7 linked regions of the Cricetulus griseus genome follow. The protein of the gene in region 2 interacts with the protein of the main gene of each other region in a pairwise test. Links are inferred from orthologs where the notes say so. Each region holds a gene or a part of one and is shown on either strand. Other genes may lie near its edges. The genes, in order: Tcea2, Meox2, Oit3, Mapkbp1, Chrd, Igfn1 and Cntnap2.

Region 1 (2,399 bases), on a different chromosome or scaffold from region 2:
ATCGAGGAGTATATCCTTTACACAGTGTATACAGGGTTAAAGGCTTCTGGTAGAGTCTGTAGGCCAGAGTTGTGCTTCTCCAGTAGCTGTTAGATAACACTGGTAGGTTATCCAGTGCCCTCTTGGGGTGATCCCCTGACCTTTCCTGGGCCATAGATGGGTAAGGGGCTGTGACTACTTGATAGATCTGGGCCTCAAACAGGAATGGGTTTAGAGAAAGCACAATATGATGGCCCCTCAGTTCCTCCAAAGGGCTTGGGTGGGTAAACTCATCTCCATGTTGCTGGGAAGAACATTTCTCATGTGACTCCAAGGAGGGGATGGAGCTCAGAAACCTCAGATGGGTCCTTAAATACCCTTACGCATCTTCCTGGATGTGGGAAACACAGATATGAAGTACAAGAACCGCGTGCGGAGCCGGATCTCCAACCTGAAAGATGCCAAGAACCCTGGCCTGCGGCGAAACGTGCTGTGTGGTGCCATTACACCCCAGCAGATAGCTGTGATGACATCAGAGGTGAGCCCCACTGGGAAGGGCTGGGGCAGGCTGTTTCTGCAGAGTTGCAGGCTGAACACTTGGCCCCTTTATCAGGAGATGGCCAGTGATGAGCTGAAGGAGATCCGCAAGGCCATGACCAAGGAGGCCATCCGTGAGCATCAGATGGCCCGCACAGGTGGCACACAGACTGACCTGTTCACCTGCAGCAAGTGCAAGAAGAAGAACTGCACCTACACGCAGGTTGGGGTCCACTCTATCTTCCTTGGCTGGGACCTCAGGGTATACCCATCCTCTTCTTGGATACCACCTATGTCCCTACTTCTGCTGGTCTGGGGACCTGTGCCAGGGCTAGGTGGCTTGGCCCTGACCAGCATGGAGAGACAGGAGTGTAGTATTGTTTGTTAGTGTCTGTAGTTACCTTCAGACCCTGCTGTGGAGGTAGAGGCTGAAGTATTCTGGGGAGACCATGTAGACTCCAAGAGGGGAGTGGATTAAGATGGTCTCTCTGGTAGACTGTTCCAGGGCTTGTGGAAGCTGTCATCATCTATAATAGGGCATGAGGGGCAGGGCCACTCAGTCCTCACTACCTGTAAGGACTGGCCCTAGCTCTGTGAAGTAAGGTTTTTTCCTTGGGTCTCCTAGATGGCCAGGGCCACTGGCATCTCTGCTGACTCTATAGAGGGTCACTATATAGACCCTCTTGTTGGGAATCTTGCACTTATCCAACATTCTACTCTACTGATCCCAGTTGTTCAGGCCCACAAAAGTCTCTTGTGGTGATCCACCTCCTCCACAGGCCCAGTTCTAGAAGGTTGAGAGGTCACTGGGAAGTTTCAAATCAAGTCATCAGTAGAGATCAGGGGGTATGAAACCAGGACTGTCCAGATCAGGGCAGCAAAACCAGGGATTCAGCCACCCACCCTACAGGTGCAGACCCGCAGCTCCGATGAGCCCATGACCACTTATGTTGTCTGCAACGAGTGTGGGAACCGCTGGAAGGTAGGTGGGTGGGCCCAGAATGCTCACCTCCAGTCCTGTCTCAGCACATATTGGACCTTAAGTAGGAACCAGGGCCCACTGTACCCAGCTAGCCTCCTGGGAGTCTCTGGGATGGAGCCCCATGCCTGTCCCATTTCTGCCCTAGGGGTCATGTGGGGCCTTGGTCAGATATTCTCTGCCTTCCTGCAGTTCTGCTGATCCCTTGTACTGATGTGTTGTCCTGGCCATGGCTAGCATTGCCCCCTCCTGCAATGTTCTTGGTGGACACAGCTTCTCTGGAGATCCCCAGAAGGTGGCATGCTCTGTCCCAGTCTGCCTGCCTGCCATGCACCTTTTTGCCCTTTGTCTCTCATTAAATGTTTTCTTTTGCCTTTCTCTGGCTCTGCTCCTGGTGAGCTATACACAGGCTTCAGTTGGGTCTTGTTCTTCCATTCCTTTAAACACCTCTCCTCCCTGGGCTCAGACAACACTTGAACTAAGTTGTGGTAGGGCAATATAGGCAAGAGCATGTCTGTTTTCCAGAGAGATCACTTGACATGTGATTCTAGGATATACTGCTTATATGTGTCCTACCATGCTGGCTGTATGGGCAGTGGCATATGAGACTTGTTAGAACAGGACCTTGCCCAGTGTTCACCCCTCCTCACTAGACATGGCAGTCCAAGGACCTGGTGTCCTTTCAGGATATTTTGCTCAGTCCTTCACTCTGCTCACCACATGGGGGAGGATGGTCTCTGGACTGAGATCAATTCTAGCTTCAAATTGCTGAAACTCCCAGCAACTTGGAGGATCAAAGTAGTGGGTGCTTTGCTTTATTGGACTCCTAAGATGAAAATGACATTGTGCCTAGCTACTCTGAGGAGGCCACATCATCAGCTTTGTCCCTCCTAGCCTCTAGGAA
Region 2 (4,139 bases):
GGCTTATGCGTTGATAAAAGAACAGTATTATAACTATTTTCTATGTTACTTTATCCTCTAGTAAGTCAAAATGTTTACACAAGAGTATCAGATGACTTGATCTTCAGTTGAATGTTCACTGAAAAAGGCGATAGATGGCTTGGAGTTAAACTTACCTATGATCTAATCGATGTTAACTCAGAGATTGAACATATAGATTTTATTTTCAAAGTGTACCAAGACAACTGATGCTTGCCTGTGATGGCCTATCAATGGAAACATTCTTTCTACGTTGGTCCCCATGATAGTATCCTTGCTAATGATCATACTTCCCGTTCTTGTCAAGCGTTACTACACCCCCGGTTGACACAAATTTCTATTCTGTTTGCTTGTTTCTATGTTCTAAAATGAGATTCACAACATGAAAACAAGCTTCCCTTTGCTGTGTGGTTATTTTCCATCGGTAAATGTGATGGAAACGACTGTTAGTCAATTTTAAGTCGGTTTTTATGAAAATAACTTAAGGATGTAAATTTTTTAGTCCTACTCTCCATTTCTGCAACTAAAAATAACTGTGGCCCAACAAAAACTCCTTCGAGTGCATAAATAATCTTTAGGGCATTGATTCAGCTAAGAAGCTGGCCATGGTTTCCCCTTGCAGAAAGAAAAAGTGCTTCTGGCTCTTGCTGTGGTAGCTACCAACCTGCTGAGGCCATCCAAGCACTCCAGTTCATAAATGCCCAGCCTGGGGAACCCCAGTGCATTCTAACGTTTTCACTGGTATCTTTTCAATAGCTTAGAATTTCCTATGTAGTTAAAGATAACCACTGCAAATCAATGACAGTGCTGGTAAATTGCTTAGACACAGCTAATCATTGTGGAGCATTAAAAAGTCATCCCCGACCTAGGAAAATAAAAGTTCAACCATCAGGTTGGTAAGGGTCACCCCACAAGGAGGCCAAGAAAAGTTTCTGTCATTTTTCAACATGATTTAAAATACACAGCAGTTACTGCCATACACTGCAGAACACCTGGACTAAATTGCCTAACATGCTACATTCTTTTCCATTATTTCCAATGCCCAGATTCACATTTCCTAAATCTCCATAGACTAACACAAAAGATTAAATAGATGCAAACTTTTTTTTTTTTTAGTTAAGTGACATCTTCCAAAGTATGTACCCAGGTTGCCATGTTCCTTCAGAGCAAGATGCAATTAAAAAGGAGGAGGAGGAGGGGATGAAGAAGGAGAAGAAAAAGAGAAACATCTTAATAATGAGAACTATAGCTAAGGGCGTTATGTGCTGTCTAGAAACTCAGTTTCTCTGAACTGCCACAATGCACTTGCTACTGAACTTTCAGGCCCTGGAAACCACTGGGGAGAAACCTTTGCTTTAGCTGCTCAAGTAATCCACACTTTCGCTGTTCACTCTGCTGCATCTTCTCCCACCACTGTCCGAGCTGCTCTTGTGCTCTCCGGAGCATCTCAAAACTCTACTCAAACAAGGAAGGCTTTTACTTTCCACTTTCGAAGTTCAGGGATTTTTTTGTTTGTTTTGTTTTTGTTTGTTTTTTTCCCATAGGATAGCCTCACCTGAGTCTAATCAAGAATGACCTTTCTTCAAATCCTCATCCATTTATTTATTCACGATTTTTAGATGTATTTCTTGAATACTTCTAGATTTCTAGATAGTGCCTTTTTCGGCAAATAAGTTAAATGCTTTTTAAAATTATTACTATTTTAAGTAGAATGCTATTTACGGAACTCTGAAAGCGAAACGTTAAAAAAAGAAAAAAATAAAACTTTTCTTTCGAGTATTTTGTCAAATCCCAGTTAAAGTTCAAGATATTGAGCAATAGTCTAGAAATCCAGTTAAGGATGGGAAAACTCGAGCTGTTCAGAATTGGGAAATTGTAAGGGAAAAACCAAGAAGCGCATGCATGCACACAGGCATGAACGCCCAGCCGATGCAACATCCCAAGGCTCACACCCCTCCCAACTCGTGGATGGAGCGCCATGCTCCTTAACCGATTTCGCATACTGTCACTCGCTCTTTTTTCACCGCCGCTGGAAAACTAGTTTATGGTCTTGTAGGGCTTTGAAGGGGCTGGACGTAGATATATTAACCTCAGCGAAACACGTGCTCCCAAATTACAGGGCCGAAGCTGCAAGGACGAATTCGGCCAGGCCACTGAGACTGGAAGAGCTAGGTATTCCTTAGTTTGTCTGTGAGAACCTTCTCGCAAATCCCTGCCCCTTCCCAGCCCAGGGAACACTCTCCTTAGAGGTGCTCTGCCCGCACTCACCTGAGCTGTCGCTTTTCCTCTTGCTGCCACTTCTCTTTTCTACATCCGCGGGTGACAGCGCTTGGCGGCCATAGTCCCCTGGTGCGCACGCGGCCCCGGTCGGGGTGCTGGAACCCAGACTGGATGAGTTGGAACACAGGACCGGAGGGCTGTTCCCCAGCTCCGGAGGCCCTCCCGAGTCGGGCTGCAGGCACAGGCTGTGCCGAGCCGCGCTAGGCGGGGAGGACATCTGCGGGAGGTGCCAGTTGCTCTGCAGAGCCTGGTGCTGCTGCTGCTGGTGGTGGTGATGGTGGTGATGGTGGTGGTGGTGGTGCCCCCTGTGATGCTGGCTGGCAAACATGCTCTCCTCGTTGGGGTATCCCGCGATTATGCAAGACGAGGAAGATGTGGAGAGTTCGGGGTAGGACATGTGGTCAGATCTTCCATGGAGGGCCAGAGAAGACTGCGAGAAAGGGTGCAAGCCTTGTGCTGTGGCGTGCGGGCTGCGCAGGCAGCCAAAGAGGGGGTGTTCCATGGCATGCAAGTCTGGACTTCCAGGCAGAAGACTTCACGATGGTCCCAAAGGCCACCAAGCTCTGTGACTTTTCACTGGAAATCCTAGAACTCTTTTTTCCCCCCACACTCACACACTCCCTAAGAGTCGCGCCTTTGAGCAGAGCTGGCTAATCCCAGTCCAGAGCCTTAGCGGCCAGTCTCCTGCACATATAAACACTGGGACCTGGAGGAGCTTCCCTCGCAGCTGCTCAGATGTCAAATGTGGGAGAGGTGGAAGCCAAAAGAAGGTGGTCCCAGAGAACTGCTTTCACGGGGGGGAAATGGCTCAGAGAGGTTATAAATAGAGTGTAATGTGAGCTGGGGGCTGGCTTAGGAGCCCAGAGCTGACCACATGCAAACTCTCTCCAAAACTCCCGCTCACTCAGCGCCACCATGCTCTCTCATTTCCAGTTCCCAACTGCTGGCAGGACAGGAGCGGCTGCTCCACGCCCGCCCGGCCCTGGGAGCTTCCACGACAGCCAGTGGAGAGTCCAGAGCCTTAATAAGCAGGGCCACCTCGATCTGTCCCATAGGCTCCCAATGGCCAGGCGCGCACCCACTCTCAGTCTCGCTAAGCCAGCACCAAGTGTCCCGTCCCGAGTCTCTTTCAGCTCTTGGTGGGGGTAGGGGTGGGAGTCACCTGCAGGAGCTCCGGAACTGCTCCCTGACCTTGCGGACCAGGAGAACTTATGAGAATTCAAGAGAAGGGAAAAGGCTAGAGCAGTCTAGCTTTTCAAACTCCGATACTCGCAGTTCCCGCGCCCGGGAGCGCAACATGGTTTTCCCCTTTCAGTTGTCTGAGGATAGGTTGTTAAAGATAAAATAAAATAAAATAAAATAAAATAAAACTGATGCCAGGTTGGAAGTTTCAGGGCTGTGCCCCAATGATAGCATAAAGCTGTTCTAAGTGCGGAAAAGAAAGGTACCTGGTTGAGTGAGGGATGGAAAGCTTGAAGCAGAGATGGACTCAATTTCTGATGCCCTGGCATCACACAAGTGCTGCTCCAACTTGTGTCTCTTTCCTCCTTTTTCAGACCCTCCTCCCACCTCTCTTTACTAGTCCAGCTCGCTCAATTTCCTAACCATTAGCTCACCGAAAGTTTTCCTAGGTCAGTGATAATCTGAAGCAATGTCAAATGAAATGTGCTCCCAGTTTAACTCTTTAGGAGCCAATCGACAGCCCCCTCTAATCCTTCCGGACAAACATTGTCTTTTTCTGTCTGAGGTGCTCTTTTCACCCTTTCTGTTTCTCACCGCTTGTCTGTTGTAAGCAGACACCACACTGAACACTCTCCAGTTCTCTCTGCTAGGACTGTTCA
Region 3 (3,500 bases), on a different chromosome or scaffold from region 2:
TAACAAGAGGGACTAATACATATTTTGATAAAATTGAGAGTAGAATTCTGCCACAAGTAGCAATTAGGAGGCTCCCAGCTGGAGGCCCAAAGGAGAGAGATACACAGGTGCAAACAGTGGAGACCCTGGGCCAGTCTGAAGCGTGGATTTACACTTCCCATTCACTGGGGACGTAGATCTTCATCCGAGAAACTGATACGCAATTGACCTGAACTTCTTCAGACACATTCGGGAAACTGCTCTAGAATAGAGCATCCTTGGAGCTGGAAGGAAGGGTGGAAAGCCACAGGAAACCCCTAATGCTAGATGAGGGTTTCACATAAAACACTGCAGACAGTTCACAATGACAGAGGACAGGCAAGATAATGGGGAGGCCTTGAACTGGTAGTAAAAGAACAATCTAGAAATCCATACAAGCATCTTTTTAAACTAGAAAAAAGAAAGAAAGAAAGGAAGGAAGGAAGAAAGGAAGGAAGGAAGAAAGGAAGGAAGGAAGAAAGGAAGGAAGGAAGGAAAGAGGAAAGAAAGGGAACTAAATAAATCACAACTGCAAAGAAGCCAACATTTACAGCTTGCAGAAGTAAAAAGCTACAGTAGATGAGATGAGAGACTCATATAGTCCGGGATGGCCTAGAGTGCACTATGCAGAAGAGGCTGGCCTTGAACTCCTGATCTTCCTTTTCCAAAAGTGCTGGGATTCCACTGTGTGCCGCCATACCTACCTAGAGTAGGATCATAACTTCACTGCACTACCTACACCAGGAAGGGCAGGAGGCCAGCAGCTCCCTGACAGCAGGTGTGGCCACACCCAGGCTAGCACTTCCTTCAGGCCTCCATGGCAAGCCTGGGCTGTTACCCTTGGACTGCGTCTTCTTTTTCTTTCGTTAATGTGAGGAAGAAATTAACATGGGACTATTACTTTTAGCCATCGTAGGAATCTTGACCACCAGCAATTCCACCTGCATGTTTACACCCTAGAGAAAAGGTCACACACGGCGTGAGGTGTGATTTGTATGTTAACATGTAGGCTAATTCTGTATGATATAGTGTGGTGCATCCACACAGCAATAATAAAACCTAGTGACAGGGTGGGAAGGAAGCAGGCTGACGTTCGAGCAGCAGCCAGCCCTAGGGGTGATCGAGTCCAGCAAGATGGCCTCGTTTGAACATCAAAATTCTATTTTCACTTAAAAAAAAAAAAGGAAAGTTACATCTGGGTACATGTGTATCTGCATTGCTATTTTCTTACTCCCTTCCCTTCTGCCTGAAAAATCTAATTAAAAAATAATTCAAATTGGCCGGGCCATGGTGGCACACACCTTTAGTCCCAGCACTCAGGAGGCAGAGGCAGGAGGATCTCTGTGAGTCTGAGACCAGCCTGGTCTATAAGAGCTAGTTCCAGGACAGGCTCCAAAGCTACAGAGAAACCCTGTCTCGAAAAAACAAACAAACAAACAAATAAATAAAATTGTTGGGCTGTTTCAGTGGGTAAAAGCGCTTGCTGCCAAGCCTGACCATCTTGGTGGAAAGAGAGAACCAATTCTTGCAAGTTGTCCTTTACCTAGCATATACACAGTAAATAAGTGATAACAAAAGTTTAAAATTGCTTCATTTACATGAAAACTAAATATAAACTAAAATTGACCTGTGTACATACACACAGAAATCTGCCTACATCATTTCTCTGAAGTTCATAGCCTGGTCTACAGAGTGAGTTCCAGGACAGCCAAGGCTACACAAAGAAAGCTTGTCTCGAAAATATATATATATGTATTATATATATATATATATATATAATATATATATATGCATTTTTATATCTACCTGAAGGAAATATGCGTAAGAAAATAATACATGTTTTTGGAATCTACTTTGAAATGACTTTGGATGTCATTTCAATTTGGATGTCAAATTTTCCAGGCTTTCTTTTATTTTTTATTTTTATTTATTTATTTATTTATTTATTTATTTAGACAGTCTTTTCTATGTAGCTCAGGTTTGTCTTGAACTCACCATTTTCCTGCCTCAGCCTCCTCAGCACCAAAGTTACAGGAATGCACCACACCTTAATGGCTGCCAATATTCAGCAGAAACATTTAATCTGTATTTACAGTTAGTAAAAACAGACAAAATATAGTCATTTGGGTTATCCCAGGCATTTTTTTATTTGCCAATCAAAAGCCAGTTTTTATATTAAAATTTAGTTTAATTAAGATTTAGGTCCTCAGGCAAGCTGGCCATTTTTCAGTGGCTCTATAGCTACAAGGACCAGTGGTCACTTGAGCCGACACTGAGGTTTCAGACTGCCCCTGGTCACACCATGAGATTGTAATGACTTTAGTTGTGTCTAACAATGACTAGCTCAATTGCAAATGCTCAGAGACTAAGTGGGATGGCAGCAGGGCCTTGCTTTGTTTCTTCGTCCTGAGGGCTCATTTCCACTTTGTGAGTAGCTCTTACCAAAGCATGTCTGTCCGTCTGGGCCTATCGAGGTTCCTGGAGAGCATGTACACTCAGGAGTATCCGCACAGCTGCCATGGCAATCCTCATCACAGATGTCATAAAAATCTATGGAAGGATAATTACCTTCTGTGAGTAGGGAGGCTCAGGTGACCCTCTCTTTTGAGTGGCACATGAATGCAGCCACAGGCTCCAAGTTCTCAGAACACCATTCCGACATTTCTTATGGGTCAGGCTGCATCACCCAGTGGAGGGAGATGAGCAGCACAGGGCAGCTTTTGTCCATTCAGATAACCGACTCCTAGCTAGAGTGGGAGTGGGCCCACTGGTGGCCAGAGGACTTCCACAAATTAAAAACATGAGCGCATATGAGCTAGGGACTAAGGGCGAGGTCATGCTCCACTGTGGACTCTCTAAAACGTTCGCAGGAGCTGGGGACACTGGCTTCTGTGAGGTCTTGGGTTTGGGCTCTTCCATCAAGGATGTTAACAAAGCCTCCAGATTTTGATGGAGATAGTGACATAAAAATTCACTTAAAGGTATTATTGATGTCACATTGCCTCTCCCCATTGTATGTTATTTCTGAAAAAGCAATGACTGTGAGCACCATGTGGATGTCTGGGCATCTATCTGTCCACCTGATCATGTGTCAACAGGTAGGTCACAGAGGGCTCTTCTGTACTCAGATAGTTGGAGATCCATCACTTCTAACTTTATAATGTTTGAATGAATAAACATGAAATAAATCTGGGTTACAATGACTGGGATTCATATGGTGCATTTCTCTTTAACTCTATCTGTGGCCTTGTTGGGGAAGGAAGAAAGCAGGGAAGGTACTTACGGCCACAGTAGACGTGGAAGCAGACGCTGGGCTTGGCCAGCCGATAAACATAGTAGCCTCCAGGGCAGGCCTTGACTTCCACCGTGGTGTTCCACAGACAGCAGTTCCCTTTGAAGCTGGCACAGGCCTGGCGTTGCACAATGCCATCACTTTCTAGGGGGTGGCTGCCATTGAGCCAGACGGGTGCGTGGGTCCCACA
Region 4 (4,248 bases), on a different chromosome or scaffold from region 2:
GAAAAGAACCCAAAGATAAGAGAAGATATGTCTAATAGTACTGATATGAATCAGCAGAGGTGCCTGTTGTGGTGGTCCATGCCAGTTAGGATATGCCCATAAGGCAGAGGTAGGAGGATCAGGTGTTGGAGGGCAGCTTGAACATCTTTATGGCCAGCCAAGTGGCTTGGCAGGTAAAAGTGCTTGCCATTTTGACCTCCACAACACCACGGTACATGCGCACCTGCACCAACACATCACGATACAATAATGATAAATAAAAGAGAAAAAAAGGGCTGGGCGTTGGTGGCGCATGCCTTTAATCCCAGCACTTGGGAGGCAGAGGCAGGCGGATCTCTGTGAGTTCGAGGCCAGCCTGGTCTCCAGAGCGAGTGCCAGGATAGGCTCCAAAGCTACACAGAGAAACCCTGTCTCAAAAAAAAAAAAAAAAAAAAAAAAAAAATGGACAAGCAGAGTTGTATCTAAGAGTTTCTAAGTTGGAGGGCTCATTCTTTGCCTCTAGAGAATAGGACAATTGTTAGTAAGAGTGCTTGAAAGGGGCCGTAATTCCACCACCATAAAAACATGTGGCAAATTTTAATTCAATAGAATCCCTGCTAGAATATACAAGAAAGCTGTTCACCTTACCAAAGCCAATTACAGCTCTGTTAAGGAACTCGGTAAGTCCTCCAAGAACTCTGCCACATTGTACATTAAACTCTAAGTCTTTCCTCAACAGGTTTGCTCATCTCTAAAGAGTCACAGTCAAGGCAATAAAATGCTGCTGTCTCAAAGGACTCTGTCCTTAGCAATCCTGTACCACACAAAGCTATTGTGGTTACAGGCTACTAATAAGACACAAAACCTAATTTGATCCTGTGGGAATAATGCTCAAGATTCCCTCAAGGGATTAAATGAATGTATTCTTCTTTTGTATGCCCAAAATTGTGGGGACCAGCAAAGCTGAATAAAGCATAAGCTGGGCATGCCAGAATGGCAACACTCAGGACACTCTGGCAGGAATTTGTACAGTTTGAACCCAGATAGGACTATGTAACAAGGCTCTGTCTTGAAACAAAACAAAACCAAAAACCAATAAAAAACCCAACCCCAGACAAGTGTAAGAATGGAAGATGCTGGCATATGGTAACCAGGATAAGCAGTGTACAATCGCAAACTAGGAAAGATGTCTTTCTCAAACACATTTGGCTCCATGTTTTCATGAGAAACCAAGAAGCTCCTGTTAAATAAACCTAGGTCTCTTAAAGAGATAAAAATTTAGCCAGGCGGTGGTGGCACAGGCCTTTAATCCCAGCACTCAGGAGGGAGGCAAAGGCAGGCGGATCTCTGTGAGTTAGAGACCTGCCTGGTCTACAAGAGCTAGTTCCAGGACAGCTTCCAAAGCCATAGAGAAACCCTGTCTCAAACCCTCCCACCCCAAGATAAAAATTTATATTTATTTCTTTGTGGGTGTTCATGTGTGCATCCATGTGTGGGAGTCAGAGAACTACTCCCAAGAGTTGGTTTACTTTTTTCCATCTTGTAAGTCAAAGGACCATGCTTGTTGACAAGTGTCTTTACCAGTTGAGCCATCTTGTGGGTCAAAGGATCATGCTTATTGACAAGTGTCTTTACCAGTTGAGCCTAGCCCAATCGTCTTAGTCTTTTTTAGATAGGATAGAGTCTCACTATGTAGCCCTGGCTGGGCTGGAACTTGTTATATAGACCAGGCTGAACTTGCCTCTGACTCCCTAGTACTAGGATTACAGACATGCATCACCAAGCCCGTCATAACATTGTTTTGATGTCTCAAATGAAGTGTTTTAGTATGTTTCTTTTTGCAAGCATAGTATGGCATAACCCCAACTGTTACACTAATGCATCCACATTAGTCACAAATATGTGATCGCACTGTCCTCTTCCACGAAGAGAAACTGAGTCATAGCGCGTCAACTAGCTTCCCCAAGCACGCGGTTTGAACTGAGGTCCTATACACTTCTTCCCACGGCAGAGTTTCAGCAAGCACGCCCACGCCTACTGCTGTTCTTCCAACTTCAGATCAGGCAGTCATAGAGAAGCACATCTGATCTTTTAGAGCCAACAGAGGAATTTCATTATCTTCCCCCCCCCCCGCCCCAAGAAAGAGAAAGGTGGAAAGGGAACAGGTACAAGAGAGGGAAGAGTTGGAGAGGTGGCTCCCAGTAGGACTCACCTTGGAGCTGAGGTCTTCTCGCCGGTTTCCTGTTTTACTTCTGCGTAATTTGATGGATGGGGACCGCAGCAAGTTCTTGATGCGGCTGGTAATGGTTGACCCTTCCCCAGCCATCATAACGAGGAGCCCCTAAGGACAGTCCCTGGCCTAGACTTAGGACTTGTCTCAACCGTGGTACTGCCTTCTCGCTTAACAGGGCCTTCGGATATACACTTTCACTGGCCTGAGATGGCAGAAGCAATCTTGGCATCACAGTAGGTGTCTTCTGCCTGTCAGCCGGTCTTACTCTGGGCATTGCCCTGTCCTTTCTCACTCCTCATCCCCACCCTAGCCTGCTAGATTTCTTAGAAAGAGAGGACGACCCTCTAGAGTAAAGAAATGTCAGGCCCACGCCAGCGAGAGGCGTTTAACTGAAGAATGGGATGGGCTCTAGAAGGGCTTGGCGCCGGTTACAGCCCGTGTTCCCATGGTAACTGCGGTGTCCAAGGGAGGAGGCCGCCTAAGCCACCCGAACGGTCCGCAGGGGGCCGGGGCTCTATGCTGGCAGCCGGGGCTCGTGCTGACCGGATCTGATACAGGAGCCTCCCTCCCCCACCCTGGCCTTGGGAGCTCGTTTCCAGCTTCCCCCCACCCCGCCCGCTCCAAAAGCCCCTAATACTCGTCAGCGCCCCCGTTCGCTCGGGCCCAGCTCACAGCGCCCTCGGGGATCACGTTCGGCGGCTTCAGCCCCGCCGCAGCAGCCGCAGCAGCAGAAGCTATGGTGGCACCAGCGGCTCAAAACGCGAACTAGAGCCTGGGCCGAGCTGCGCTGGGAGGCGGGGCCTAGGCGAAGGGGGTGCGGTCTGCGGCAGATCGGTTCCTGACTGGAGGAGCGTTGCCTCTGGGGGCGGAGCCAAAGAATGAACCGTGGAAGCAGAGGGCTCGGGATTCTGCACGGTATAATTGTGGGTACCGCTCTTAAAGGAAGGTCAGCATAACATGGCTTTAGAATTGAGAGAACCAGGCCTTTTACGGTATTATCAAGCCTGGTCCCCCAGAGAACTTCCCAGATCAAGACGATAGCCACGCCCCCAAGCCTAAGGTTGGTATTTGGTAGGCCTGAGACCACGGCTGAAATTTAATTCCTAACTCATTAAAAAAAAAAAAAAAAAAAAAAAAAAGGTTGGGATGCAGCCAAAAGAACTCCTTTCCACTCCAAGTGCTGGGATTTAACACGGTTGGAATAGTTTGTGATTACGGCCAGCCTAACACAATGACTCACGTGGAGTAACGAAACACACACTTTTGAACTGAACCTGTTAAGGATGGAAGACCCAAGCCTCCAATGGAGCCTTAGGTAGGCTGCAAACAGAGAAAAGTAAATGAGTGCACCTTTATCATCCATCATTTCCTTAGCTGCCAACATCCTTACAGCATTTGATTCACAGCATTAACGGTATTTTGCCACTCCAAATCTTTGCTCAGCCTTGTCAAGATTTGCAAACACCCCCAGGGCTGACACCGATATCAAGCTTGCTGCTATCAGGTTTTTTTTTTCCTCCCTAGTTCATGGAGATAGGAGAGATATACATACTCATGCTTCACAGATATGACATGTCTGTTTATTTTTAGAAGTTCTAGAATTTCCTATCTAGTTACTACCTCAAGAAATTACCTGCGGGTGGGGGCCACTGGACAGATGAATCAGAGCACTGGCTTCTTTTCCAGAAGACTCAGGTTTAATTACCAGCCCCCTCAGTGGCATCTCACAACCATTCCAGGGGATTTGTCGCCCTCTCCTGGCCTCCATAGGCACCAGGCACATGGATGCACAGACACAAGAATAGGCAAAACACCCACCCATATACATTTTTTTAAAATGCCTTCTGAAAAGGATAGCTTAAGCCAAAGACCTGTATTGAAGTAGAACAGTACACTGACGTGTCTCTCCCATCTCAGACTTTGGGAATTCCTGAAGAAGATGGTGGGTTTGCAAGAGGGAAGGATCCCTAATATCAGTGTTTAGCGGTACTTGGACAAGCACTGTTCAAACAGGAAGGTTCCTGGGTACTATATAG
Region 5 (4,215 bases), on a different chromosome or scaffold from region 2:
GCCCACAGCGCCGAGCCCCACCCTGCCTCACCGTCACAGCTCCGCCTGGCGGTAATGTATCCGCTGATGCGTAGCTCTGGCCCACCTGCCCTCTCTAGGACCATCTGCAGCTCCCCCAGCACCAGCCAGTCCATCTCTTGGTCTGTCAGGCTGGGCAGCACCTCAGCAAAACCTGGCTCCTGGGAACAGAGCGGAATGTGGTGGACAACAAGAGGCCAGAGCAAGCAGCAGCAAGACCCAGGCCTCCCCTTACCTCAGCTGAGGTGTTGGCCTGGAGCTCTCGGAGTGGCTGTCCCTGGTGGAGAATCTGAAGCCTCAGGGGAACCTGAGCGGGACCTGCAAGGGCTGCACATGTGAGCATTTCTGAAAGTTGAGCTCCCTCCCTATACTCTCACCGGACGCCTTCTCACCTGCTTACCTTCATTCCTGGGTCCCAGCAGACCCCGGAAGAGCAACAAAAAATGTAAGGAGTCTTCTGTGTCACTGAGGGTGAGCAGGGCTATGCCCCCTACACCCCGATGCTGTGGGCCTTCCAGAGTAAGGGTGGCACTGAAGGTCTCTGGGGAATGGAGGGCATGACAGCCATCAGAGGAGCCTCTCGTGAGTCCACCCACCCCTGGATAGAGAAGGCTCAGTCTTTTCTATCTGGGAACTCTTCACTCTTCCTACCTGCAGCCAGAGCACCTTGCCAAATGAGAGGCCCCCAGACTTCTCCTGAAGGGTGAGTGGGTGTCACCAGGGCTACATGCAGCTGTTCTGCCCTCAGGAGCCTCTGAGATAGCCGAGGCATTGCACGCCACACCCCACAAACCTACAGCAAAGAGACAAGGAAGTCTACAGTCACTATGCAGGACAAGCCAGCTAAGAGGCCCAGTCCTGGTGAGGGAGGAGTATGGAAGGGAGACCCCAGACCCTCCTAAAAAGGACCCAGGATCCTTGAGTTCAAGTCCTGGCTTACCACTTGCTAGCCAAATGACCTTGAACAAATCACATTCTGCTATTCTGAGCCTCAGTTCCCTCCTCTGTAAAATGGGCATCATAATGTCAGGGCCTTTCTCCCACTGGGCTGTTGTGAGAACCAAAGGAGGCAATGCCAACCATGCTCTCAGCAAGTGCCCATTTTGGATAAGTACACGTAAGTGGCATCATCTCACCAGGCCATCCTGGGTGGGGGCAGCAGGGTGTTCAAACAGGATGTTGCCGGTGGGATCTGTGAACCGAACCCGGCTGGGGCGGTCCAGCCTGTGAAGAAAGGTCCAGTGAGACTGGATCCAGAACCCGCAGTCTTCCCCCTTTCATGCCCCCATTCACTACTCCTAGCCGCGCTGCTCTTTCCCTGGTCTCACCGCTGGTAGGAGATAGAGAAGCGAAGACTTGAGCGCAGGAGAGAGACTCGAGCGCGAGCTACCGCCTGCGACCTCGGTCCTGTCAGCAGCGCCACAAAATCTGTGAGAAGAGAGGATGGCCTAAGCACTGTCAACCCTTGCCGCTGGCCCCAAACTTCGTCAGGCCCACTTCCACCCCAGCCTACCCGTGTGGCCATCAGCACGTGTCCGCTCGCCAGCGCCGGGATCCCCTCGATCGCTGTAACTGCGGTGCTCTGGGTCCCTTGGATACTCGAAGACTAGGCCAGCTGGCTGTCGGTCCAAATTGCTGCGCTCTGCGTTGGGGGGGGTAAGGAATAAGACCACTAGATTCAGCAGGGTACCAGGAGGGCCAGTCCTCCTCAGCGATCCAAGCCGCACAGAACCTAGTGTTGAGCCTTCCACCCTCCCTAACACGGGAGACAGTGGGCCTCACCCTGCGGGCAGGTCTGGCAGCAGTGTCCTGGCAGCTGGCGCGGCTGCCTGCAGGCCAGGGTGGGGCACTGGGGTTTGATGTTCTTGCAGCTGACCCTGCCAGGGCCCCTCCCACGGCGAGCCCACTGAGGCTGATGGCAGAGAACACAGGGAAATTAAGTGAGTGTAACGTGCAACCATCAGACGCCAGGGTAAGGTCCTCTGCTGGAATCAGTCAGCTCCGCTATTTACAAGTTACATGACCCTGGACAAGTTTCTTAACTTCTCTAAGTCTGCAAAGTAAGGCTAATTAATGCCATTTATCTAGCAAGGTTGCAATGGGATGGGGGAAGTTGGCTAAAAGCCAGTCACATAGTGGGCGATCAATAACTGTCAACACCGCAGACTTGAAAGGGGTTTCCCCAGATTTGAGGACCAGCCTTCCCCTGAGCATCTCCGAGGCTACTACGGCTTAGGACGCCAGCGTTCCGCTACCCTCTAGGGTAGGGCGGGCAGCTGCGGTATCCACTCACCGCTTCACAGGCGCACAGCACGCAGCGCATCACCCCAAAAGGCTCCCCCAGGTCCGGGTGCCACGTCTCGTCCAAGGCATAGACCTTCCCGCCGAAGGAGCAGCCTGTGGGGACGGGCTTGGCTGGCGGCCGCTGTCCGGTTGCTCGTGCCGTAATGCCTGCTCCGAGCTCTGCCCGCCAGGCCCTGGGTCCCTTGGCACCGTTGCGCCCCGCCGCCTCTGCTTACCCCTCCCGCCCTCCCGCTGCGCCGAGCCACCTGCGCCCGGGGCCCTGTCCCGGTGGGTGCAGACTTGCCCCGAGCCAGACTCCCCGCCCGCGCCTCCCCCCTGGAGCCCACCTACCTGCCGCTCCCCGAACAGGCAGCGGCTCCTTCTCAGGACGGATGGGCAGCGCGGGGGACTCGGGGCCAGTGCCACCGGCCGGCCGCGAGCCGAGGAGCAGCAGCCCGAGGAGCAGCCGCGGGGCCGGCGGGGCCGGGAGGCTCGGCATGACGCGGAGCGGACAGCTGGGGAGGCGGGCGGGAGGAGGGAGCAGGAGAGGGAGTAGGGCCGGACCGGAGGCGGGCCGGCGGGAGGGGGCCGGGGCCAGGAGGGGGGCAGTGGCGAGGGGCTCGTCTCGCAGTCGCGGAGTCCGCTCCCGGCCGGGCGGGGCGGGAGAGCTCGGGCGGCTGGGCGCTGACCCGGGCCGTACGCCGCTGTAGTGCCCTAGGCGCTGGCTCCGGCCCGTTTTATGCCCGCGCCAGGAGTCCCGGCCCGGGGCCTCCTCCTCAGCAAACGGGGCGCGGCGGCGGCTCCGCAAGGAGCCCGGCTGAGCCCGGGGGGTCCGGCCCAGCAGCAGCGGCCGGATCGCGAGTGGGGGAGGGGGACAGGCTGGGACCCGGCAGGGGAGGAGGGAGGGACTGGAGGAGGGGGGAGCGGAGTGGGCAGGGGGAAGGGAGGAACCAGGGGGCGCAAAGGGGGGGAGGAGAGGCGGGCTTCGACACCCCCACACACACTCCTTGCGGCCACCCCTGTGGTATCCATCCAGAGAGACAGGAGCCTCAAGCTAAGTGAAAGGGCAGAGGCTGGGCCTCCGGCCTGTACCACTCATGGGCAGGATGGGCCCTGGAGGATGAGGACTTGTCTTTGAAAAGGACAACGATCTTCCCTGTCTAAGACCCAGGGCACCCTCCTCCTTTCACTCAGGCTGTATTCCTCTTTCCCTTCTAGGGTCTCTTCTCTTTCTGGAGTTCCCAGGCACAGGGACCAAGCCAGAATCAAGAAATGCTCCCCGCACCCAGTGGAGTAATAACCTCCCCCTTGTAACCTGTTCACAAGTCCATCCAACCATCACCTGGCTTTCCCACCCTTTCCTTCATCCAAGGGACCACTCTTTTTCCTCTCCTTTGTCCTGCCTCCCCATCTCCTCCACCCCCACCATTCTCACAACCATCCCAGCACCCGGCTTCCTAATCTTAGGAGGCATCTCTTCTGATTGAACTAGAGAATTCCGGGATCTGGGCCATACTCCTTAGTGGACAGCCCATCTTCAGAGCAGGCACAGGAGAAACCCTGAGGAAGAACAAGGGCAGAGCACAAGGTCAGGCCAGGAGATCCCTGAGGACAGAGACCGTGGGGAGACAGGCACTGAGGAGAAAGCACCGGAGCTAGAGCCAGGACCAAGGCAAGAAAGAGAAGAGCCAGCAGAGTTATTTGTGGGGGAGGCTCAGCAGCTGTCTCTCCTAAGACGGGGACAGATGGGCCTGGTTATTTCTCTTGTCACATGTATAGTGGTAGGAACGGGAGAGGGCCATTGGGCAACCAAGGGCAGGCTTACAAACAGAGCTGTGTGGTTAGTTGTTCAGGTCCCTGTGCCCCTTGTAGAAGAAAGGCATCTGAGTCCAGTCAATCTGTCTGGTTTTCCTT
Region 6 (3,500 bases), about 110 Mb from region 2:
ACGCAGACATCTAGATTTCACTCTGAGGGTGCTGCCACTGTTAGATGTTCCCGGGATGGTACAGCTGGTTCTGATTCACATTTGTACTGGGTGCAAATGAAAAGAGACTAATCTGGAAGGGGTATTCCCTCCCCAGTGCCCAAGGCAGATGACTTGGAAATCTCTGCAATAGAAGAAAGCTGCAGGAAGTAGATTATGCAGCCTAGCCTAGAACTGTAACTGTCAAAGAGAGGAGAGTGGCAGGTTTAGGAAAGGAGCTGACATGAAATTTCCCTTCAGCTTAATTAGGAAAGAGACCTTCCCCATCACAAGGGTCATGATCAAAAGCATTAAGAGGGACAATACCTTATACCAGAGGCAGCATGGTGGGCCTTGAGGTTAGAGAGCATTAGAAGCATTGTGAGAACATATAAGTCTTATAAAATATATAGATTTATGATAATTAAGACTGAGCTAGCAGATGAGAAATCCTAGTCATTGGCCAAGCAGCAGCATTTGTACCTAATATAAATCTCTGTGTCTTACTTGGGACCATAACGTGGCGGCAGGTAGAACTTAGGCAGCCTGGCAGAAAGCGCCCATGTGGCAGCAGGGCTCAGGCAGCTTGGCAGAAAGACTTATTGTTACAAAACGGAAAGACAGGGAACATTCGGAGAGACAGCTTAAAGTGAGAGTAGGAGAGTCAACCACCAAGGTCAGCATGATGAGACGACATCCTAGAGAAATCCTCACCAGGACATGGTCTATGCTTTCTTTCTGTCTTTGGGGACCTGGCTTGCTTTCCCCTCTACCTTGAGGTCTGTGCATTCACAGAAAGAGCTGTCAGCTCTTTGTCTCAAGAGCCAAAGTGCAGGGTGGCATGGCCCAACTTCTCCAGGTTGTATATCTGACGTCATAGAGGATCTTAAGTGTCAGGTCTAGGATCTAAGTCCCTCCAGGTGGAGGATGACAATGCTGCCAACTGCCTGTGGGACCCCTGTCTTGAGCACTTGGGAATGCTACTATACCCATGGGAGTGTTCCGAGGGTTCAGGCATTAACCACACGTGGAAAGCACAGAGAACAGGCCCAGGTTACTGCTATCACTTTCTCAGCCTTTTGGTCAGCTCAGGGGAGAGATGGAACACTCAACACCATCTGAGAGATGAGGAAATTTAAATACAGAGAGGGTTAGGTATTGTCCAGAGACAAACTAGTGACTGATGATGACATGGGACAGTTCATATTTTTTTTAACTACTACCTTAGTTACTATGCATGGAGTCAGGTGGTGTTGATAGTGGCTTAGTATCACTTGCACAAAAATATATCCTAAAGGCAAAAATGGTTATCTATCCTAAGGGCTCCCTCAGTCCCCAGACTTAGATGAACGATGGGGGAGGAGAGGGGGTGCTCTAATTTGGAGGTGCAGTATTAGAAGCTACCACTAGAGGGGTGTGTGCCCTGTACAGGAAAGTAGAATGGAGTTCAAAAAGCCAAATGCCAGCTGTGGCTTCAACAACCATTTTCCTTCCTACCACTTCACACTGGGCTGATTTCTGAGACAAGCCCAAGTCTATGACTAGGGCTAAAAAAGAACGAGGAAGAAAGGATACCCCGAGATTGTCTAATTTCCTGGTTGCTCTGGGGCCCCCATGTCCTGCCACACACTCTTCCAGGTATACTCACTTCAAAGGAGACAGGAACTCGAATGCTGTCTCCAACCCTGATCATCACTGTATCCTTTGTGCTGGAATCCATGAAGAACTTGGGACAAACTAGAATACACAAAATGGCTTGTCACCTCTCTTCACAGTTGGCTTCTAGCTCAGGTTACCCTGCATGCAGATTGAAGGCTAAGCCAGTGTAATGGTCTGATGGAGAAAACTTGGAAGGGCACACTGGGGAGAAAGGCCAGGAGCTGACAGGGACAGTCTTTTGAGAGGGTCAGAAGTAGAGACAAGGCTACTATCAGGGAAGGTGAAGGTTAGTCTGGAGCAAGGATCCCGGGGACAGCTACGTTTTTATTTGAAGGTGAGAGCACCATTAACCCCCAGTCAGAGAGTGACCTTCCTGGTTGCATCAAGTAAGGGACAAAGCCAGAACAAGAGTCTAAGATTCTGGACTCGGGAGCTCTGTGCTTTTCATTGTAATTGTCTCCTTATTGCCACTGTGACAACTAGAGCGAGTTGGTACAGCTCAAAAAGACAGGGGATTTGCTTCTAGCAATTAAGGCCCAAAGGGAAACACAATCCACCCCGCAATAACAGGGAGCTTGGGCATGTGCTGGCTTAAGTTAAGCAGTGCCTGTGCCTTGGAGTCACTTGTTTTAAATCCTAATTCTGTATCCTAACAATGGTGATGTCTCGGGTAAAGCATCTTGGACCTTGTTTCCATCTCTGTAAATTGGGGATCAAGAATATTAACCATGTAGGAAGGGAGCTATCTTGAGAAAGCATTCCTAAGAGGGGTCCACTTAGCTCAGTGATGGATGCCATTCCTCGGTTAAGAAGGCAGATGATGGCTGCATAACAGTGCTTCTCAGGAAGGATCTTTAGCACTCAGGATGGGGAAGGAGGTGACACTCACCAGTAGCAGGCATGGCATGGACCACTGAGTCCAAGGAAGTGGCCTCGCCAGGGCCCCCATCATTAACTGCTGTCACCCGCACAAAATAGCCTTCTTGGGGCCGTAGTCCCTTGGCTGTGAAGGTGGTGCCCTGCACAGTGCCTGTGTGGCATGGGCTCCACTGAAGGCTGTCTGAGCCACGCAACTCCACAATAAACCCCTGGGCTTCATCATCATCTTGGGTGTCCGGCCTCATCCAGCTCAGGGTGATGCTGGTGTTAGATGTGTCTGTAACCCGGAGATCCCGAACAGGCCCTGGAGGTCCTGACAAGCACCATGGAAATTTCAGGAATGTGTCAGCTTCCCCTGAGGAGTCCTCCTGCCAGGGACTTGAGAGTTCTTTCACTTAGGTGTTTCTTTAGAACCTACCTAGAACTGGCATTGTATCCCAGCTATATGTGAGTCCCTGGTTACCTCCTCTACTCACCCATCAACTTGCCAACCCCTAACCATCCTCCTGTAACCCTTGACAACTGGTATTTTAGTTGATAATCTTTTTATAAGATTTTATTTATTATGTATACAACATTCTGCTTCCATGTATATCTGCACACCAGAAGAGGTCTTCAGATCTCATCATGGGGTTGCTGGGAATTGAACTCAGGATCTCTGGAAGAACAGTCAGTGCTCTTAACCTCTGAGCCATCTCTCCAGCCCCTAGTTAATAATCTTTTGTGCTCCATTGTGTCTGGGGACTGGAGTTCTATGTCTGTATGCTGAATTGTAACTCTTGGTTGGGAACAACAACACAGATTTTTTGTTGTTCATTTGTTAAATGGGAACAACAGTAGCTCGACCTACCATGGGGGCCCTGGAACAAGCAGAAGGCATGACGTGTGTGATTTGAATGTAACACTGCAGGGTGGTGTTCTGGCTGTCAAGGTTAGCTGCACAT
Region 7 (3,500 bases), on a different chromosome or scaffold from region 2:
GCCTGTAGAACAGTTACTTTTCACTATTCTGAGCTCTGCGGGAAGACAGAGGAGAAACACTGAAAATCATGCACTTAAGAGAGGAAAGGAAAATGAGCAAGCTTAAAGATGTAGAAAAGTAAAGTGTGGAAAAGGCCATGGTAGTTGTTAGAGAGATCAGTTTCATCAAGGAGAATCCTCAGTCTTCAGTGGCATGAGGGAAGATTCAACCAACTCAAGGATCCATCTTGTGAAAATGCAGATTTATTTGAAAGGGGAGAGTCTGGATGGGATTTGCTACTTAGAGATTATTACGTATGGAAGTCATTTCCTAGCTTCACCAGTGAAAGCACAGAAGCCACCAAAGTATGGTGGTAGGGTGCCAAGGACATTTTCAGTTTGCACTTAGCTTGCCAGGATCATCATTGGAATGCTGATACCGTGGGTGTACAATGTGAAAGGATTGGAAACTTGTAACAATATTCCAGAAAATTCCATAGAGCAAGCAAGGTGTGTCAGGGTTGGAGTCTCTGCAAGGAAGCCATAAGAAGATATTGCAAGTAGCTGCTTGAGTGAAGCTGAGTTGATGGAAAACTGAGGATGTTGCAGCTGCAGGAACTCATGGGATGCCTGCTGAGAAAACGAAGTGATGGAGTGCATTCCGAAGACCAAGACTAAGCCTCATAGTAGGCATAAGCCTGAAGCCAACTGCTACCTGTGATCCAGAATAGGACAGGAATACTCAGGGATACTGGAACCAAGGTGAATTCACCAGTATTTCCAGAGTCTATAAATAGAAAGACACAACTAATTTTTATACACTTCTAAAAACAAATATTCCTTCTAAACACTTGGGAAATTATTATACTTTTTTATCCTACTTTTGCAGCAGAAACCATGTGTATAAATATCATAGAAAATCTGGGAATTTCCAATGTAGTTTTACCTATATACATAGATACTTAATTGGGAGTCATTTTTTTAAGTTATGGTATTTGTATGTCATCTAGATTGACTGGCAATCAGGAGCTTACATGATTGGTAATACTGGTTGTGCTGATGCATATGTCAGTCATCAAATACAAGCATAGCATGTGGCTAACCACAAAGGAATCAGATGCTGCTCACCTCCTCGTTTGTTGATCTTGGCGTAGCCAGGGGAATAGCTGCTGGACAGGGAAGAAGAGCTGCTGAAGGACACGTGGGGAAGACCAGAGATGAGCGGCTCGTCACATTTTTCTGGAAAAAAAGAAGAGACAGAGAAAGCTAAATTTGCTAAATCTCTTTATAAAATGGTTAGTTTGTGTTTATTAACATAACTACCAATGGGAGGGAAACATGGATTAGTTGTTAAAACCTCTTGCTGATCCTGCAGGGGACCTGGTTTCAATGTCTAACATTTACATGGGGTAAGTCACAACCATCTCTAGCTACAGGTCCAGGAAATCTGATGCTCATGGCAGGCAAATGTGTATGTACACACACACACACACACACACACACACACACACACACTAAAATAACTACTTAATATAGTACAGACTTTAAAACCCACCAAAACATACCCTTTACCAATGATCACAATTTACGTATCTCAGTTGTACCCATTGTGATAAACTACAGAAGCAGTTTTAATCATCCTGATGTAATAATCAGAAGCAACAGCATTGCCCCAAGAGGGCCACAACTCCATTTCAGTCTTGAAGGATCACAGGGAGAATCCGGAATCCAGTTATTTCATTACTAGCTTTTGTACGTGGCATTACCTAGATATGATCAGGGTATTTGCGAATCACAGAGAGAAGACAGGAAACAAGGAAATTTCAAGACGTGAGATTAGAAAGAAATTTACTAAGAGGACCCAAAGCCAGAGAGTTGAAATCACTAATCAACATGTGTAATTTTAGTTGCACAGGATGAATAAGATCTGGAGGTTAGATGTATCACATTGAGCCTGCAGATGATAATACTGTCTTAGGTACCTAAATATTTGAGATAGAAGGTCTTGTGTAAAATGTTCTTACTAATGAGGTAAAGAAATAACTGATCACAATGGAGAACAAGAATAACAGTCAACATGGAAAAGAGTACCATCTAAAAATTTACGATTTTCTGCCTTGAAGCTATCTGTAGAACTTTGTCCACATGGCTTTTCAATGGCACCAAAATTTTTAAATGTCATTTCTTCTTAAATGTTTCTTTTTATGTATATTTCTTAATCTCCTAATTTATAAATCTTCCCAGTGTTCAGGCCTCCTCTGTTTGTTCTCCTCCCTGCAGGAGAGTACCTCCAGTGCTAACCTGTCACACCGGACATTGCTGACTCCTGATTCTTACCTCCAGGGCAGCAGACCTAATACAAGGAGTCGGCAGCAGCTGCTGTCATAAAGCTGCTCAGCTACCCCACTGACCATCTTGCTCTTTTAGCATCTTCTGTCTACAGTAGAGGAAATGTATCCCCACAAAAAATTTCACTGTGAGGCTGGAGCTGCTAGAGAATTTTTAGTCACAATTTTTATTATTAAAATTATTGTAAACAATTAGAATAATCACACTAAAATTAACCTAACCCAAAGGATCTACAACGCCATGAATGTCTCTACAGTTAGAATAGTCATTTGGAGCAAATGCTGTGGAACTTCACATTAGATTTTACCCTTTCAGTGTTGATTGCATTTTATTTTCTTAACGACTATCAAAACAAAATAAAAAATTGTGATAGAATGAAGATTAGAAAAAAATTAGCTTTATAGCCTCTTTCATATCTCCATGACAGTCTGTTCTTCCTCATCACCTCACACAATCACATAAAGAAAATAAAAAGAAAAACAACATAAACTACCTGCTATCTCCAATACATAGACTCTAGTGAAAAGTACATGTAAATATGTCTATGTAACTACATGTCCATATAAGCCAAAACACATATGGATCCAGTAAAACAAGAAGAAAAGAAGGAAGGCTATGTATAAATTTTGGCAATCAATATAGAATTTTTCATGTTATATCATTGAGAAATTAGATTTTTAAAACAAACTTCATATACCCAAAATCCTTATACATCTGACCCACTGACAAGTATAATTGTATATATGTGAATTTTCTCAGAGGTATTGTAGTATCCTTAAGAGAAGTAAGAAATGTAACAACATTCCAAATGTTTTCATTTTAACCTCATATATGTAATATATCTGAATATATATATATATATATATATATATATATATATATATATATATGATTAGTGAGATAATGAATAACCATTGATTGCACTAGAGTCACTGGGGACCCAGCTCCACCCAGGTGAATGTTCATGGCGAAGTCAGAAGTCGGAGTGTGCTCTGGCATCTGCTTCCAATCACTTGGAATGATGTTTAAAGTCCTTTGGAGCCTACAGTGGCTCACTCACCTCCTTCTTTACCACTGACTAGATGCAATGACTCCTGTCCTCTTCTTTCAGTGGCAAGCCACCTCCTGCTTGGAGACTTCACATTTGCTATCCCAAATGTTCCCTGGTACAC

The links.
Region 1: the proteins of Meox2 (region 2) and Tcea2 interact in binary tests that used the Homo sapiens proteins (3 or more experiments, as listed by UniProt). The two-hybrid records come from large-scale screens. The link is inferred for Cricetulus griseus from reciprocal best matches to the Homo sapiens genes MEOX2 and TCEA2.
Region 3: the proteins of Meox2 (region 2) and Oit3 interact in binary tests that used the Homo sapiens proteins (3 or more experiments, as listed by UniProt). The two-hybrid records come from large-scale screens. The link is inferred for Cricetulus griseus from reciprocal best matches to the Homo sapiens genes MEOX2 and OIT3.
Region 4: the proteins of Meox2 (region 2) and Mapkbp1 interact in binary tests that used the Homo sapiens proteins (3 or more experiments, as listed by UniProt). The two-hybrid records come from large-scale screens. The link is inferred for Cricetulus griseus from reciprocal best matches to the Homo sapiens genes MEOX2 and MAPKBP1.
Region 5: the proteins of Meox2 (region 2) and Chrd interact in binary tests that used the Homo sapiens proteins (3 or more experiments, as listed by UniProt). The two-hybrid records come from large-scale screens. The link is inferred for Cricetulus griseus from reciprocal best matches to the Homo sapiens genes MEOX2 and CHRD.
Region 6: the proteins of Meox2 (region 2) and Igfn1 interact in binary tests that used the Homo sapiens proteins (3 or more experiments, as listed by UniProt). The two-hybrid records come from large-scale screens. The link is inferred for Cricetulus griseus from reciprocal best matches to the Homo sapiens genes MEOX2 and IGFN1.
Region 7: the proteins of Meox2 (region 2) and Cntnap2 interact in binary tests that used the Homo sapiens proteins (3 or more experiments, as listed by UniProt). The link is inferred for Cricetulus griseus from reciprocal best matches to the Homo sapiens genes MEOX2 and CNTNAP2.

Annotation. Positions count from the first base shown.
Region 1 is NC_048599.1:221,915-224,313, reverse strand, and holds the end of Tcea2 (transcription elongation factor A protein 2), read left to right. Parts: coding exon 1-10; intron 11-362; coding exon 363-517; intron 518-592; coding exon 593-739; intron 740-1,426; coding exon 1,427-1,696; coding exon of another isoform or gene 1,697-1,709; 3' UTR 1,710-1,899; downstream 1,900-2,399. UniProt on the Homo sapiens protein: Necessary for efficient RNA polymerase II transcription elongation past template-encoded arresting sites.
Region 2 is NC_048598.1:164,594,808-164,598,946, forward strand, and holds the start of Meox2 (homeobox protein MOX-2), read right to left. Parts: upstream 2,801-4,139; coding exon 2,287-2,800; intron 1-2,286. UniProt on the Homo sapiens protein: Mesodermal transcription factor that plays a key role in somitogenesis and somitogenesis and limb muscle differentiation. Required during limb development for normal appendicular muscle formation and for the normal regulation of myogenic genes.
Region 3 is NW_023276807.1:1,838,580-1,842,079, reverse strand, and holds part of Oit3 (oncoprotein-induced transcript 3 protein), read right to left. Parts: coding exon 3,302-3,500; intron 2,569-3,301; coding exon 2,461-2,568; intron 1-2,460.
Region 4 is NC_048599.1:58,519,701-58,523,948, forward strand, and holds the start of Mapkbp1 (mitogen-activated protein kinase-binding protein 1), read right to left. Parts: upstream 2,801-4,248; 5' UTR 2,309-2,800; coding exon 2,192-2,308; intron 1-2,191. UniProt on the Homo sapiens protein: Negative regulator of NOD2 function. It down-regulates NOD2-induced processes such as activation of NF-kappa-B signaling, IL8 secretion and antibacterial response. Involved in JNK signaling pathway.
Region 5 is NC_048597.1:67,916,608-67,920,822, forward strand, and holds the start of Chrd (chordin), read right to left. Parts: upstream 2,801-4,215; coding exon 2,653-2,800; intron 2,482-2,652; coding exon 2,312-2,481; intron 1,931-2,311; coding exon 1,801-1,930; intron 1,667-1,800; coding exon of another isoform or gene 1,661-1,666; coding exon 1,532-1,660; intron 1,447-1,531; coding exon 1,347-1,446; intron 1,243-1,346; coding exon 1,155-1,242; intron 812-1,154; coding exon 670-811; intron 560-669; coding exon 419-559; intron 337-418; coding exon 254-336; intron 180-253; coding exon 32-179; intron 1-31. UniProt on the Homo sapiens protein: Dorsalizing factor. Key developmental protein that dorsalizes early vertebrate embryonic tissues by binding to ventralizing TGF-beta family bone morphogenetic proteins (BMPs) and sequestering them in latent complexes.
Region 6 is NC_048598.1:53,315,175-53,318,674, reverse strand, and holds part of Igfn1 (immunoglobulin-like and fibronectin type III domain-containing protein 1), read right to left. Parts: intron 2,870-3,500; coding exon 2,567-2,869; intron 1,756-2,566; coding exon 1,667-1,755; intron 1-1,666.
Region 7 is NW_023276806.1:224,133,265-224,136,764, forward strand, and holds part of Cntnap2 (contactin-associated protein-like 2), read right to left. Parts: intron 1,219-3,500; coding exon 1,108-1,218; intron 1-1,107. UniProt on the Homo sapiens protein: Required for gap junction formation. Required, with CNTNAP1, for radial and longitudinal organization of myelinated axons.